Ovis aries: one gene and its partners. The protein of the gene in region 2 interacts with the protein of the main gene of each other region in a biochemical or structural test. Links are inferred from orthologs where the notes say so. Each region holds a gene or a part of one and is shown on either strand. Other genes may lie near its edges. The genes, in order: NCAM1, FGFR1, FGF6 and FGF8.

The links.
Region 1: the proteins of FGFR1 (region 2) and NCAM1 form a complex in vitro, tested with the Homo sapiens proteins (2 studies listed by BioGRID and IntAct). The link is inferred for Ovis aries from reciprocal best matches to the Homo sapiens genes FGFR1 and NCAM1.
Region 3: the proteins of FGFR1 (region 2) and FGF6 interact in a biophysical measurement, tested with the Homo sapiens proteins (2 studies listed by BioGRID and IntAct, with this or other methods). The link is inferred for Ovis aries from reciprocal best matches to the Homo sapiens genes FGFR1 and FGF6.
Region 4: the proteins of FGFR1 (region 2) and FGF8 interact in a biophysical measurement, tested with the Homo sapiens proteins (2 studies listed by BioGRID and IntAct, with this or other methods). The link is inferred for Ovis aries from reciprocal best matches to the Homo sapiens genes FGFR1 and FGF8.

Annotation. Positions count from the first base shown.
Region 1 is NC_056068.1:23,481,068-23,484,628, forward strand, and holds part of NCAM1 (neural cell adhesion molecule 1), read left to right. Parts: intron 1-74; coding exon 75-259; intron 260-804; coding exon 805-901; intron 902-1,212; coding exon 1,213-1,383; intron 1,384-3,387; coding exon 3,388-3,519; intron 3,520-3,561.
Region 2 is NC_056079.1:32,638,964-32,642,524, forward strand, and holds part of FGFR1 (fibroblast growth factor receptor 1), read right to left. Parts: coding exon 3,470-3,561; intron 3,308-3,469; coding exon 3,202-3,307; intron 3,070-3,201; coding exon 2,893-3,069; 3' UTR 1-2,892. UniProt on the Homo sapiens protein: Tyrosine-protein kinase that acts as a cell-surface receptor for fibroblast growth factors and plays an essential role in the regulation of embryonic development, cell proliferation, differentiation and migration.
Region 3 is NC_056056.1:211,494,698-211,498,749, forward strand, and holds the start of FGF6 (fibroblast growth factor 6), read left to right. Parts: upstream 1-1,238; 5' UTR 1,239-1,487; coding exon 1,488-1,833; intron 1,834-2,783; coding exon 2,784-2,887; intron 2,888-4,052. UniProt on the Homo sapiens protein: Plays an important role in the regulation of cell proliferation, cell differentiation, angiogenesis and myogenesis, and is required for normal muscle regeneration.
Region 4 is NC_056075.1:22,294,068-22,298,302, forward strand, and holds the start of FGF8 (fibroblast growth factor 8), read right to left. Parts: upstream 2,803-4,235; 5' UTR 2,084-2,802; coding exon 1,714-2,083; intron 1-1,713. UniProt on the Homo sapiens protein: Plays an important role in the regulation of embryonic development, cell proliferation, cell differentiation and cell migration. Required for normal brain, eye, ear and limb development during embryogenesis.

The DNA of each region.
Region 1 (3,561 bases), on a different chromosome or scaffold from region 2:
CAGGGCCAGGAGCCTGAGTGTGGGGGACTCTGCGATCACGGCGGTCTTTCTGGAGCCGCTGTCCTTCTTTGCAGATGCCCCCAAGCTGCAGGGCCCTGTGGCTGTGTACACTTGGGAGGGGAACCAGGTGAACATCACCTGCGAGGTGTTTGCCTACCCCAGTGCCACTATCTCATGGTTCCGAGACGGTCAGCTGCTGCCCAGCTCCAACTACAGCAACATCAAGATCTACAACACCCCATCGGCCAGCTACCTGGAGGTGAGGTGGTGTGGGGGCAGGGGTGCGGTGCAGGAGGCGTGGTCCAAGTGTGGACAGGCTGCTGGGTACAGCTGATATCCTCCCCCTCGCTTCTCTGACTCATCCTGCGCAGTGGAGCCATTGGTTGGGGAAGAAAGCCAGCCTCAGCTTGCCCCTTTATCTCGAGGAGCCAGATCAGGGCCTGGAGGGGAGCAGAGTGTTCCTTCCTCATGAGACCCCTTTTCTATTATTTAATATTTTTTTACTGAAGCATAGTTGATTTGCAGTGTTGTGCCCATCTCTGCTGTGCAGCATCACGACTCAGTCATACACAGAGATGCGTTCTTCTTTATTATCGTCTTTCCCATTATAGTTTATCCCAGGAAATTGGATGGAGTTCCCTGTGCTGTACCTTGTCATTTATCCATTCTGTATGTAACAGTTTGCATCTACAAGCTCTATGAGCTGGAGCTTTACTGATTCTACTCTTAGTTCAGTAAATAAGGATCTGAGGTTGCAGCCATTCCGTGGGACACTTATAACCCAAGCGTTCCTTCTCTCTAAAGGTGACCCCAGACTCTGAAAATGATTTTGGAAACTACAACTGTACCGCAGTGAACCGCATCGGACAGGAGTCTTTGGAATTCATCCTTGTCCAAGCAGGTGAGTGCCCCTTCCAGCTATACCAGCCTCACTCTGGCTGGTCCATTTCATGACCTTCTGTGATGACAGAATGTGGGAAGAAGGGGGAGTAAGGGTCAGCAACCAAAGGGTAAGGAGGCTGAGAGGTAAGGGGGCTTAAGGATCTGGACATGGGGTATGTTGGGAGAGAATTATTTGCTGGGGTGGACCAGGAAGACAGAATACAAATGACAAGATTTGCAGGAGTTAAAGAGAGTCATGTTTCATGATTGAATGTTACATCCTGGGCCAAATCCGGCTGACCTGGGTCTCCATCTGTGTCTTCCCCACAGACACCCCATCCTCACCGTCCATCGACCAGGTGGAGCCATACTCTAGCACAGCACAGGTGCAGTTTGATGAGCCAGAGGCCACAGGCGGGGTGCCCATCCTCAAATACAAAGCTGAGTGGAGAGCGATGGGCGAGGAGGTGTGGCACTCCAGGTGGTACGATGCCAAGGAAGGTGAGCTGCAGAGTCGGAATTTACTTGGGAATGATGTCTCTGGGCACACACACCCCTGCCTTGAGTTCACCAGATCCTGGCTTCTGACATGACACCCCCCAACTGGGGAATGCCAGATGCCACCGCCTGCCGTCCCGCTGATGTCTAGGCTGTGGTCACGTCTCATGAGAGACTTGGCCTTCTGCCACCCCAGCACTTCAGAACCTGGTTCTCAGGTGACTGTGCCAGGGCGGATGAGGCCGGCTCAGCTGCATTCCAAGCAGAAGCCCTGCTTAAGTGCTGGGCACAACCCAGAGGAGTCCTGTCTACCCTGCTCTGTGTATTTGGCCTCCATGTGCGTCAGCCATCCTGTCCTGCTTGTGTGTATTCAGGGATTGCCGTGTAATTAGGACATTAACCTAATCAGCAGAGCCAGCGAGACAGCTCTTTTAAATCAGTTCTATGATATACTTCCAAAGATTTGAAAAATGACCCTTGCACGACTGCAGTTTGAAGTTTCTGAGCTCAGCTCATCTTGCCCTGAGGATTGAATGTGTTTACGTCTGACTCTCCCTTTGAGGTTTAATTGGAATAAGTCAGTGAAGTAAGTTTTGTTTCCGTAGAAATTTTTAATCCCAGAAACGAGGGGAGAGCTGAGAATGGATTGGATTAACATGCAGTGTCACAGCAATTCAGAGACATCCTCCAACTCAGTTTTACTGAGAACTCATCCTTCCAGGAAGCAGGCTCCCATCACTCCAGCTTTGGGGAGGGCTAGGAGGACTTTCGGCATAATCAGGATTAGAACTAGAAGAAAATCATCCTTCACCTCCCTGACATCCCTCTGAAACCTCATACCAACTTTGTGGCAGGTTAATCCCATGTCCAACAGACTTTTTGTTTCCCAGTTAACTTTTTTAATGTAGTAAGATATATATAGCATGAGCTTCCCAGCTGGCACTAGTGGTAAAGAATCCACCTGCCAATGCAGGAGACACGGGTTCGATCCCTGGGTCAGAAAGATCCCCGGGAAGAGGAAATGGCAACCCACTCCAGTATTCTTGCCTGGAGAATCCCGTGGACACAGGACACTGGTGGGCTATAATCTGTGGGGTCACAAAATTCGGACATGACTTGAGTGAGCACCATATACAACATAAAAATTATTATTTTAACCATTTTTTAGTGTTCACAGTTCAGTGGCATTAAATCATTATGCGGTCACCACTGTCCGTCTCCAGAACTTTTTCATCCTAAAGTCAATACCCATTAAATAACAACTCCCCATTCCCTCCTGCCCCAGCCCCTGGCAGCCACCCTTCTCTATAGAGTTGACTCTTGATGTTGTTGTTTAGTCTCCGAGTCATGTCTGAATCTTTTGCAACCCTCTGGACTGTAGCCCGCCAGGCTCCTCTGTCCATGGGATTTCCCAGGCAAGAATACTGGAGTGAGTTGCCATTTCCTCCTCCAGGAGATCTTCCTGACCCAGGGATCAAACCTGCATCCCCTGCTTCTCCTGCAGTGGCAGACAATTCTTTCCCACTGCGTCACCATGGAAGCCCATAGTTGACTATTAATAGTCTCTATATGGTTGACTATTCTAGGTCCTTCATATAAGTGGAATGATATAGTATTTGTCCTTTTGTATCTGTCCTATCTCAGTTAGCGTGATGTCCTCAAGGTTCATCCCCGTCGTAGTGCATCAGAATGGCATGCCTTTTTAGAACTGGACAATACTCCACTGTGTGGAAGACCACGTTCTGTTTCTGCATTCATCTGTCGGGGGACATTTGGGTTGTTTCCACAGTTCAGCTGTTGTAAACAAGACGGCTGTGAATGTTTGTACAGATATCTGTTCCAGTCCCTGCTTCCAGCCCTTTGGTACATAGATCCAGAACTGGACCTGCTGGATCGAATTCTACCTTTAATCGCAGAGGGATTTGCCGTCCTGTTTTCCGCAGCAGCTGCACTATTTCACCAATAGGCATTTCCCCCTTTGTGACCCTTTACATGTTCTCACAACAGCCAGCCTGGAGGGCATCGTCACCATCGTGGGCCTCAAGCCTGAGACGACGTACGCAGTCCGGCTGGCAGCCCTCAACGGCAAGGGCCTGGGCGAGATCAGCGCCGCCTCCGAGTTCAAGACGCAGCCAGTCCGTAAGTATAGCCTGCTGCCCGGCTCATCCCTTTGGGGTGGGG
Region 2 (3,561 bases):
ATGGCCCTAAATACTGTTAAGTGCCAACCTAGAGAGAACTTGCCCCAGTGCTTGGGTCCCTGCCCACCTGCCTCCCAACAGCTGAGTGGAAGCCTGTCTCCTTGCCCTGCTCTCTACTCTTCCCCACAAATGCATCTTCTGTGGCTGCACCAGCTGCTAATAATCTCACCGAGTATAATTTTAGGCATTTTCTAAAGCCCAACCCCGGTGGTGATGTCAGACTTGGCCCATCTCACACCCTGAGAATTCTGCTTCAACAGAAAGGTGTTGGTGGCTTGGCACGTATGGACCTGCACCTGTGCTGTGACTAATTCTGTGTTTCAGTCATTACAGGTCGCAACGGTGATATCGAATAAATGCTCTATAGTGTTAAAACCTAAAGATCTCCTTGTCACCACCAGTGCACACCAGTAGGTAGGGTCAGACTAACGGAACTTTAACGCTGATCGACACCTTCCTTTTGCCCAGGGTTCTGGCCCGCTGGCTCCCCCCAGTGGCGGCTGTGAGAAACACAGCGACTTCACTGTCATGGAGATAAATTTCCTTCAGCCATGATTCAATCTTACTTACCTGAGATCAATATAGTACATTAGCGGTGCCGGGGGACTGGTGACCCCTGGCCTGTGGCAATTAGAAAGGGTGGGAAGGTGGTATCGACCGATGCTCCGGCCCTCATCTTTTAACCCTCAGGAAACCAGACAGACTCAGTGCCTTGACAGGATGACATCTTCATTAGATAAACTGGATCTCTTTCCTCAAGAGACCCAATCTGGTCAGCTAAGTAAAATGGCCATTTCATTTTCTCTCAGGTCAATTTCACTATCTTTGATTTGACAGCTCAGTCTCTCGGGAAATTCATGGGTGATTAGAGTAGTAATAGCAAGGACATCACTGTTACAGCAACAGTGAGCTGTGTCCCACTGCCTCTACTGAAGGCACGCAAAGCCCTTTGTGAAAGAGTGACCATCCATTCACACGACCCTGGGCCCAAACTATCATCAGTATTTTACAAGGAAAGGTGCCACTACAAGCTGTCCCACAAATGGTTTTAAAAGCTAAAGTTCATTTCCTGATTCTGTTCTTCACTAGTATATGCCCTCCTTAAACGTGAACACATATCAGAGTATGTTGATAGTTGCATATTCACAGAGCTACTCAGCAGAAAACAGAACTTTATAATGAGCCAACACTAGAAGGGGCCAAGAAACAGCTCAGAAAGGAAACTTCAGGAGCAACCCCATTCTTCCCAAACGAAACTGGACTTGCTTTTATACTTAGAAGGGATCCGGCAAAGGGCAAGCTTTGGGGGCAGAGGCTGTGAACCAACAGCCTGAGCCCTAAGGTTCCAAGGAGCCGGCACCTACTTGGTGGGGGGAGAGATAACCAGCAGGTGGCAGAGGAAGAAAATTCCCCAGCAGCCAAAATGCACCTTCACAGAATGTCTTCCTTTTCCTTAGGGCTGGGGTAGAGTTCCTGTGGGAAGAACTGGAGGAGGCCAAGTGCTAGCCCTAGCACACGCGGTCTGATCACTCGAATTCAGAATGGTATTGGCGGGGGTGGGGGTAGGTAGGCAGAATAGCCTGGGAGACAAGAAACCTGAAGCCAGGGCCCTGGGTGTAAAGCTGGTCTTAGGTAACAGGTCCTCCCTGACACAGAAGCACAGGCAGAACCATACCCACACAGAGGAGCAGCCACTCTCCTAGGTCTGAGTACCTGCCGCCCAGGGTCAAACCATCCATGACCTGCCTCTTCATCACTTCAGCCCCACTCCTGGCTCTTCGGAGCTGGGCCCTCAGCTCCCTGTCTGACTCTCAGACCCCAGAGGCTCCACATTCCCCCCAGGGAAACGTATGGTGGAGGGGGCGGTGGGGCCTGGCCCTGGGCCCAGTGACCCCTACCTGCCTTCTTTCCCAAGGCCCGGCAGAGGAAGGAGGGCTGTCCTGAGGCCTCGGAGAAGGACCCATGGGGAAGAGACCTTGGGACAGCCAGCCCCAGAGCCCGGCAGCCTCGCTCCTTCACAGTCGGCCTCCTCTCCCGTGTCACACAGCCCGTATAAAATTGAAGCAGCAGCAATTTTTATTGAGGGACCTAAACTGAAAATAGGTTTAGAACATAATTTAAAAAAATAAAACAGCAAAAGTAGCAAAAAATATATGACCTTTTTAAAAACATTTTCTTTTTTTTTTTTTTTTTTAATATATAGCAACTGATGCCTCCCAACCACCAGGAGCATCTTACCCAATGGGTAAATCTCTGGTAACGACCCTTTTAAAAAGACATGTAAATATATACTCAGATTTATACACTTTGTGTTTTCTTCGTAGCTATGTACAGAGCCCCTGCTTTGGGGCTGGGCCCCAGGGCCACGCCGCCGGCTCCCGGCCTCTGCGTCCCCACCCTCGGGTACCAGGTATTTGGTCATAAAAGCAAATTAGTATCGGAATCAATAAGCCACTGGCACTATCCGTCTGGAACAGAGGTCGCCTTCTGCGGAGGCCCGAGCGCTGACCACCTCTACACGCAACTCCCGCTGTAGCCCGAGGACCTGCCACCAAAACACGGGCACATGGGCTGTGCAGAGCAGGCAAAACCAATGCAGGAGAGCTAAGTCGGCTCTCGCTCGAGGGCGGCTCGGCCCCCACTGCCCGACCCTCCAGGCGGCAGTGGGGGGGTCTTGGTCCAACGTTTGGCAGGCCACGTAGTAGCCGTCAGCAAGGACCGGCCTCCCTGCTCCTCTGTCAGGCTGTGAGGAGGAGAGGAGGGGAGCTCGGGCGTGCGGGCCTCAGGGAGGCCGGCCAGCAGAGCGCAGGGGAGGCAGCGAGTCCAGCGGGAGGAGGGGCGGGGCCACAGTTGAGGATGGAGTCCGGGGAGGGGTGCGGGGTATGGGGCCAGTCAGCGCCGTTTGAGTCCGCCGTTGGCCAGCTGGGCCTGGTGTCGGGGCAGGCAGGGTTCCTCGGGCAAGGGCTCGTGAGAGAAGACGGAATCCTCCCCGGAGGAGCAGGTGGAGCTTCGGGTGTCGGGGAAGCTGGGGGAATATTGGTCCAGGGGCATTGACAGGTCCAGGTACTCCTGAGGGCGGAGACAAAAAGATGCAAGACCCGCACTCTGCTTCCCGCGGCGGTAGGATTCATTCCGCGAGAACTAGAATCCCGCGAGAATTCGGGCCGGTCGGCACACAGGATCTGGGAAGGGCCGCCTCACCTGGTTGGAGGTCAAGGCCACGATGCGGTCCAGGTCTTCCACCAGCTGCTTGAAGGTGGGTCTCTGAGAGGGGACTGCGTGCCAGCAGTCTCTCATCATCATGTAGCTGGGGCAGGATGGCGAGGTCGGGGTGGGGGGAGAGGACAGGCTCAGGGTGGATGGGCCGCGGGCGGCTGGCTGCGCGCCTCCTACTCCTCCCTCTACGCCCCGAGCCCAGCCCACCCCCAGGGCCCAGCCCAGGACCCCAGGCATCTTTTCTCAGGCTTACAGCTCGTTGGTGCAGTTACTGGGCTTGTCCATACGATGACCCTCCTTCAGCAGCTTGAAAAGCTCCTCCACGGGGACCCCAGGGTATGGGGA
Region 3 (4,052 bases), on a different chromosome or scaffold from region 2:
ATGGCAGGGTGGAAGTTCACATATTCCCTCCCCTATTCCCCACACTTTACCAGATGAAAGTAATCACAGAAGACCGCTGGGCTTCAAGGATTCTGAGAGGACAAAACGGACATGCAAGGCTTGGCGAAACTTCTAACCAAAGCGTCATCCAGGTGAACTAAGCTGCAGGGCAGAAGGCAGGTGGACGCCACGGACTGGAGGTGGGGACCCAGGCCAAGGCTGGAGCTTACAGTTGGAGGGGAATGCATGCAGTCTCAGCGAAGGCCCTGGGCAGCAGGCCTCCTCCTAGAAGCCTTCCCCACACTGCCCGCACGCTCCACTGTGAGTGAGTGCTATTGAAATGGTTCTATGAGGTACCCTTGGCCTAGAGCAAGCTCACTCAATTCATGGAAATCTCACTTCTATGACAGGCGTCATGCAGAGGTTGCAAGCACTGGGTTTGGGCTTTGGCCACCTTTATATGTTCTGGCTTTGCAGCTTACTAGCTGTCATCATTTGGGCAAGTCACTTAAGCTTGCCCCCTGCCTCAACCTCCTCATCTTTGAAATGGGAATGAGAGCAGTCAGGTGGCCAAGGGTGAACCCCAGTAGGAAAAGGGCTGGTGACTCTGTCCAGGGCTGGACGCAGCTCCTACCCTCTGGCTGGTTGCACGCCAGGACCTGTGTGGAGAACAGAAGCCCAACCCTAGCCCCACCTCCCTCCACAATCCTCAAGACATTTGGAGACCCCCTGTCCAATCCCTGTTCTCTCTTGCTAAAGGGGTGCAGCCTTCCAGCATCCTCCCAGCCTCGGTGGCCTTAACTATGAGCTCTTTCCATGAACAGGGTGACTCAAGGGCCCCAGTCATCACCCGCCACCACGCCTCCCCCATCCCTGGCTTTACCCTTTGCCCTCTAAATAAGGAAGCCAGCGCTGCCAGGCCAAGGACTTCTGCCCAATTTGGGTCCTGGGTGGCCTCTCGCCTCCCTCTTCCCCTGGGCCCCCAGCCAACTCCCCCTCCCTCAGAGATGCGCCCTGCTCACTTCATTCCTGCCTCATAGTTGGAATGACAACAGCTCTCAGAATCTGTGGGGTGTGTGTGTGGGGGGGGTGCCGGGGGTCTGGGGAGGCAGCCAGGCCGTGGAGCAGGTTAATGTTACAGCCCTGGATAAGTGAGCTGGGCCACTTGACGTCAGGGTGATGATGGGTGGCAGGGAGGGCCAAGCGGCTGAACTATAAAGACAAGTCCAATCCGATATAATCAACTCGGGTCGGAGTGAGCGGGCCAGCCAGGCAGCGTCCCCAAGCCATGGTCCCTACCGGCCGCGGCTCAGCCTGGGTCCCTCTGCTCCAGACCCAAGTGCCCAAAGCCGGCTTTGGTTTCATGTCAGCAGCCTTCAACTGCCTTCCAAAAATAAGCCCCTGCCGCCATGCCGAGGGGAGAAAAACAAGAAGGGCGGTATTTTTAGGGCCATTAATTCTGACCACGTGCCTGAGAGGCAAGGTGGATGGCCCGGGGACAGACGCTGCTCATCACTATGTCCCGGGGAGCAGGACGTCCGCAGGGCACGCTGTGGGCTCTCGTCTTCCTCGGCGTCCTAGTGGGCATGGTGGTGCCCTCTCCCGCAGGCACCCGAGCCAACGGCACGCTGCTGGCCTCAAGGGGCTGGGGCACCCTGCTGTCCAGGTCTCGGGCCGGGCTGGCCGGAGAGATCGCAGGCGTGAACTGGGAGAGTGGCTATTTGGTGGGGATCAAGAGGCAGCGGAGGCTGTACTGCAACGTGGGCATCGGCTTCCACCTTCAGGTGCCCCCCGACGGCCGGATCAGCGGGACCCACGAGGAGAACCCCTACAGTGAGTGCCATCTGCAGCCAGTTGGGGAAGCCAGGGGATGGGACTCCAGCAGGTCTCTGGTGCCTGGGGTCCTATGATGAAGGGGGAAGGAGGATTCTCCACCTGGGTGCCCACTAGCCTAGCCACCTCCCCCAACTCGCTTTGCTCCTGCAGGGTGCATAGGCTGAGGTCTGAGCATCCTCTGCCACCCGCCCATGGAGCCCCTGCGGCATCAATTCCTTCAGTATTTCAGGCACAGCCATGGCCTCAGAGAACCACCAGGAACCCCCAGCCAGGGGGAGCCACAAAATGAGGGTGGAGAGAACCGGCAAGGATGCTTAGATCAGATTAGATATGAGCTGCTTTTTATTTCACTTCCCTCTTTGAGAGGAAAGGCAAATCATTTGCAAAATTTCCAGCTGCAGCTTGTCCTTCTTTCTAGTTCAGCTTGCCCCCACCCCCCATGCCCGCCCTACAAGTTGGTGGGTTGCTGTCTAGATGGGCTAGCCCCAGGAGGGGATGGGGCTGGAGGATCCAGGGCAGCCGTCAGACTCTGTGTGGCTGCAGTGTTTGCAAGATTAGATAGGCTGAAATGTGTTGAAATGCGAGGAGACATTTTAAACAAAGCTAATCAGAAATTACTTTTTTTTTAATCCACGTCAAGGACCTCGTGTGATTAAGCCCAGATTCGAAGCTACTCTTAGGTAGATGCCCAGGTGGCCACTGGGATCTCTAACTCCAGTGTCAGAACTTCCCCCTTGCAGAACTTGATTGTTAACAGTTCAGTAAAATGGCCCAAGCTGACAACTCAGCTTCCAAAGTGAGATCAGGGTGGAGGCAATAGAAGGCCTGACTTTCTAGAAGCAGGAGGGTGGGCCTAGATGCCCTTTGTAGGGGGGGTCACCTTTAGCTTGACATCCCACTCTGCTTTGCGCAATCCTGGGGTAACACAGCCCCTGTCTCTTTGGCAGGCCTGCTGGAGATTTCCACAGTGGAGAGAGGTGTGGTGAGCCTCTTTGGGGTGAAGAGCGCCCTCTTCGTCGCCATGAACAGTAAAGGAAAATTATACGCCACGGTGAGTCCATCAGGCCAGGGGAAGCTTCCGGCTGCACGAGGCCTGCCTGTGTGCTCAGTTGCTCAGTCGTGTCTGGCAGGCTTCTCTGTCCACGGGATTCTCCAGGCTGGAGTGAGTTGCCATTTCCTCCTCCAGGGGATCTTCCAGACTCGGGGATTGAACCTGCACCTCCTGTATTAGCAGGTGGACTCTTTACCACTGAGCCACCTAGGAAGCCCCTGCATGAGGCCTGAAGAGTGTGCAGTTGAAGAAAGTAATGCAAACTCTTGAGCAGAGATGTGCATATTCATCTAGAAGGAGGAGGGGGGCTGTGGGAGGAGCCGGTGCGAGTAAGGTGCTTGCAGCTCTGTGCTGGATCGTGTTTTTCTTGATCCCACCTGTTGGAGCCTTGTAGCAAGAAAGGAACCGTAGCTCAGAGGGCTATAGGGTCCAAGGGAAGCCAGAGCTCTGCATAAAGCTGCTGTCCAAGCTTACGGTCAGGCCCTGAGCTGGAGAGGCCCAGAGAAGCAGGCTTTGTTTCAGCCTAGACATGCTGCTCCCATGAGCCACCCTCCAGCCACAAGCACAGCCCGGGAAGAAGAAATGAAGCGCTTTTCCTCACCTTTATCAGTGTGTGGACATCTCACTTTAAGGTTTTAAGCCCTCTGACCTCTGATCCCAGCTGCCAAAGAACCATGCCTCCCACTGTACCCCCTTAGCTGGCACCAGCCTCCACCTCTGCCTTCTCCCATCACCCGTCACGGCTGGTGGGGGCAATGCTAGCACTTGGGTTAACCTCCCCAACTTCCACGTTTCCCCACTTCTCTGCTCTCTCTGACCCCTTCCTTCCTGGGTCTCCCAGCCCATAATTTTGGCATATTCCAAAACGTGGAAGGGGAAAGCATTCCTATGAAGGCAGAGACCCTGGGAGTTCTCGCGACTGAAATAAGAAGGCTAAAAAGGAAGACCTGTGAGCCATGGCCGAGGAATAGCAGAGTGACTATTTCTGGGGAGGGCGTGGAGGGCCGTTCTACCCCTGCGTGGGGACAGACGGGAGCAGGAAGTGAAAGCGGAGGCTCTGGTACCCGGGGCCGGCATCCAGGGAGGCTGTCCCAGCAGACCAGGGCTGTGAAATGCCCGAAGCGGGAGCCCAGGTGGCCTCGGCCTGTGATCTGCAGCGCTAGCA
Region 4 (4,235 bases), on a different chromosome or scaffold from region 2:
TCTGCCATTCTCCCCCAGATTCTACCTGTCCTGGCTATACACCCTAAGCCTCTGCTCTTGGGCCCTCCAGCTCCTGCTCCTGCCCACCAGGCAGGGACCAGGGAACCTGGGAAGCCTCCTATAACTGTAAGAAGAGAAGTGGGCATCAGACCTCTGATGTCTGAAGATGAATCCCCCCATGACCAGCTTAGCTTCTTCTTCTTCGCTCCCCAAACCCCGAGGATGCTGGACCATTTGCTCCAATGGAGCAAACCCAGGAGGGGCCAGGCATTCATTCCCTTTCCTTGGAAGCTGAGAAGGGCAACGAGCAGCCAGTTTGAAGGGACAAAGGGGCGGCAGGCTGGCCCTACCAGCCCAGCAGGGGAGCTCGGCCACCGGGCAGGCCACCCCCACCCCCACCCCCACTGCAGAAAGCCCCCACTCTCCTTCCTGGATGGAGCTGGGGAGCTGGGGCAGCAGTTTACAGCGGCTTTCCCGACCGGGCTTTTGGAAAGCTTAACATTTTCAAACCTATTCTTCCACCCCAGTGACAGATTTATCCCAGGAAAATTATGTCTCCTTCTCCAGCTTTGAAGGGAAGTCAGCTACGTCGATGCAGAAAAAATGCAGCGAGACATACTCGATCCCCCAAACTGGCTCGAGAAGAGGAGAAAGTATTCAGGAAATGTTAAAAAAGGTGAAAGTAAGAAGAGTTTTAATCGCTCTGCCAGACGCGGGGGTCTCTCCAGAGATTCATAGAGAACAATCTTGAACCTCTTTTTTAACATTTACAGACTTGCAACTCCTTTCAAACTCCACATCTGAAAAAAAGGCTCGTTCTTTTTCTGTTTTATATCATTCTTCATTTTTCTTCTTAGCTCTTAAAATGCTTCACCTTTTTATTACATTTTAATAGAGTCTTCCCCTCTCCTTTCATGCTTGTTTAACTTGGTCATTATTTAAAGGTTTTTAAACTCACAATAATCGCTCTCTAAAAACAACACCAGCCGCCCAGAGGACTTGCTTTTCTCTTGGTACATCCAGGACTCTGGAAATTGGCCTTGTTTCAAGGCAGGAATATTGAATGTTTTAGAAATCAATCAGTCCTCAGCCTCTCCACCCCACAGTAGCTCCCTGTACTCACCACCCCACCGGGAGCCAGGAGCCCCGCTCTGACCGACCGCCTGGGTTCCTGGACAAGTGAAGTGGGGAAGGCCCCTTTCCTAGCCTAGTCCCCATGTGTAATTGACCCTCCTGATCAAAGTATTTAAGGTTCACAGTACACCGCCCCCCCCCCCAACCTGGGAGAGTTGAGGGGATTTCTCTCCCTTCTCTTTCCCACTCTCCTTTTGTGGGCCCTGGTGACATATCCTCTTTCAAGAGCTTCCCTTAAACCTGGGCCCCCTCCCCCTGAACCCTCTGCCTCCACCTGCAGTGGGGAGGGGTATGAGAGGGGGAGGTGGAAAGGGAGATTCCTGGATTCATTCATCTGCTGGGCAGGGAAAGGGCACCTATGGGCCAAGTACTCCCCAGGGTCCCTTCCCCAGCCCTCTCTTCTCCAGCTGACCCCCAAGATGTTTGTCGGCTTAACTCCTTCCCTTCTGAGCTGGGGAGCCTACAGGCCTCAGCTCAGCGCGCAGATGCGACTGCTGGGTCCCGTCACAGCAGGCCAGCCTGGGGAGGAGGGGCGTGCTCCGCAGGCTACCTTAACCCCAGCGCAGTGCAGCTCCTTACCGAAGGGGTCCCCGTCTTCTGCCATGGCGTTGATGCGCTTGTTGGCCAGGACCTGCACGTGCTTCCCGCTGGTGCGGCTGTAGAGTTGGTAGGTCCGGATGAGACGGCGGCTGAGCTGATCTGTCACCAGGCTCTGCTCCCTCACATGCTGTGTAAAATTAGGTGAGGACTGAACAGTTACCTTTAGGAAATTGAAAAATACACAACACGCCATTATAATGCTACCCTGCCCAGGGGCCCGAGTGGCCCCCATCACCCGGCACCTCCCTCCACTGCCCCAGGCAGCCGGCAGGGGCTGGGGTCCCCCCAACATGCCAGTTCGGACCACCCCCACCCTACCCAGGAAAGTCGGACAGACCCAGTCTAGCATGGATGCGCCCGGGATGGGGAAGGATCTGGACCCACCTGTTGGGAAACACCCTGGGACTCCCGGCCAGCTCGGAACAGGGAAGCGAGCTCCCTGCCCAACGCAGGCCCCCCGCCCGGGCCTTCCTAGAAGAGCAGGGCGCTTTTAAGTCGGGAGGCAGCGCGGCCCGACCCCTGACATTTATAAAGACAAATTCACGGAGCAAATGTGGAGACCGCAGAAGCCCTGGGCACCTGGTCTTTCGGCCAGACCCGCCGCAAGTCTCTCCAGAGAGCCGCGGAGAGGGTCCCTGAGGCCGTCACCGGACCTCTGACATCGAACGCCCCCTGCCCCGAATGCCCCCTTCCTCGGCGCGGCCGGGACTGGCTGCCGCCGAGTTCCCCAACCACCCCCACCGGGCTGGGAGGCGTGGGAGACAGCGCCGGACTCCGAAACCTCGGGTTCTAGCCTCGCGCGGCTCACAGGCTGTGTGACCTGAGGCCGGCGCTACCTCTCTGGTCCTTAACCCCTCCTCGGGATAGTTAGGGGTTGCTGTTCTAAGATGCTTCCCAGCACTTCCAGCCCGCCGCGCGGCCGCGGGGTCGGTCCTCTTGCCCCCGCCTGCCCGACCTCGCCCCCCGGCGTGCCCCGCCGGCCCCGGCGCAGTGCGCCTTACCTGGGCTTGGAGGCAGAGAACCAGCAAGTGCAACAGCCTGTGGGAGACAAAAGCGGGCGGGGAGAGAGGGGCGCGGGGTGAGTGGCGGGCGGGCCGGCGGGCGCGCGGCCGGGGGCGCGGGACGGCGGTACTCACAGGCAGCTCAGCGCCGAGCGGGGGCTGCCCATGGCGCGCGGCCGGGGAGCACCCACAGCCCCGGCGGGATCTCGCCGGCTCGCGGGAGGCAGCGGACCGACGAGCCGAGGGCGGCGGCGGCGGAGGGGGGCTCGAGGGTGGCTCGAGGCCGGGAGCCGGGGCGATCGGGACGCAGCTCCGCGGGTCCCAGGGAATGTCGAGCTCGCCGCGCCGCGCCGAGTGCCTCTGCGCCGCAGCCGGAGCCGTTGGCCGCTGGCTGCTGAGGAGCCGGAGCGGGAGGGAGGGTAACGGGCCGGCAGGGGGGGTGGGTAAGTGGGAAGGGAGGGGGAGGGGTGGGGGCGGGGGGCGCCGCACCGGGCGCGAGGGGGGAGCGCGGGGCGGGCGGCCGGAGCCCGCAGCCCCCGGCTGGGAGCGGGGGCCCGGACGCAGCCCGGGGCGGGGGCGGGGCGGACCGGGGCGGGGCGGTCGGAGGGTCGGGGATTGGGGGTCTGGGTGAGGGGAGGGGTCTGGGGACCCGCTGCAAGGGGCGAGGGCTGCCTGTCTGGGCCCCTCTCCGCATCCCGGACTTGTCCCCTTGCGCGTTCTTGGGGTCCAGGCGTGCGGGGATGGGGGCGCATCGGGCCGCCCACCCTGTGGAGTCCCGAGACCCTCTGCTGGGGCTTCCTGGACCCCCCGGGCGCCCGAGTGGGAAGGCGCCCGGTCTCCACCGTGGGACCCGGTCCGCTTAAGCCTCAAGCTAGACAGCGGTTCTCTGAGCCACCTACTGTGTGCTTTGTCTGTCTGGGGCTGCCGCCTGCAAGTAGCCTCCAACACTGGGGTGAACGCTTGTGCGCTTTCCTCTGGCAGTGCGCGCCTGTGAGACCGGGAGCCGACAACCACCCCCATCTTTCTGCTGAGTACCCTGCCTTGCCGGTCTCTCCTGCATCGCTCAGTCACCAAGAAGGCCCTGAGATCGAGAAACATCTCCTTTCCTGCTTCCTGCCCTCATTATCACCATCACCCCTGCTCCTGTCCCTCCCGCCCCCAACACGCTAGACTGAAGCCTGACTACACCACCCAAAAAGGAGAGAGCCCACCCATAGGGAAAACCCCAGTCACTTGCCACCACCATGCCCTCCCCAAAGCGGCAGGCAGTGGGCGCAAAAATAACCTCAGCTGCTTTTCCAGGAAAGAGGCTTAGATCCAGGTTGCCTAGTCTTTTTCGCTCAGACTCCCATTATTTGTGCACTGAACAGGTATTTACACACCTACTGTGTGCTAAACCTGGACTGGTGCTTTGTCAACCCTGGGGGAGGGGGAAGTATCAAAGAAGGTAGTGAGTTGTCTAAGCCTTTCCCAGCCACCCATTGCTTCCTCCAGGGGCTT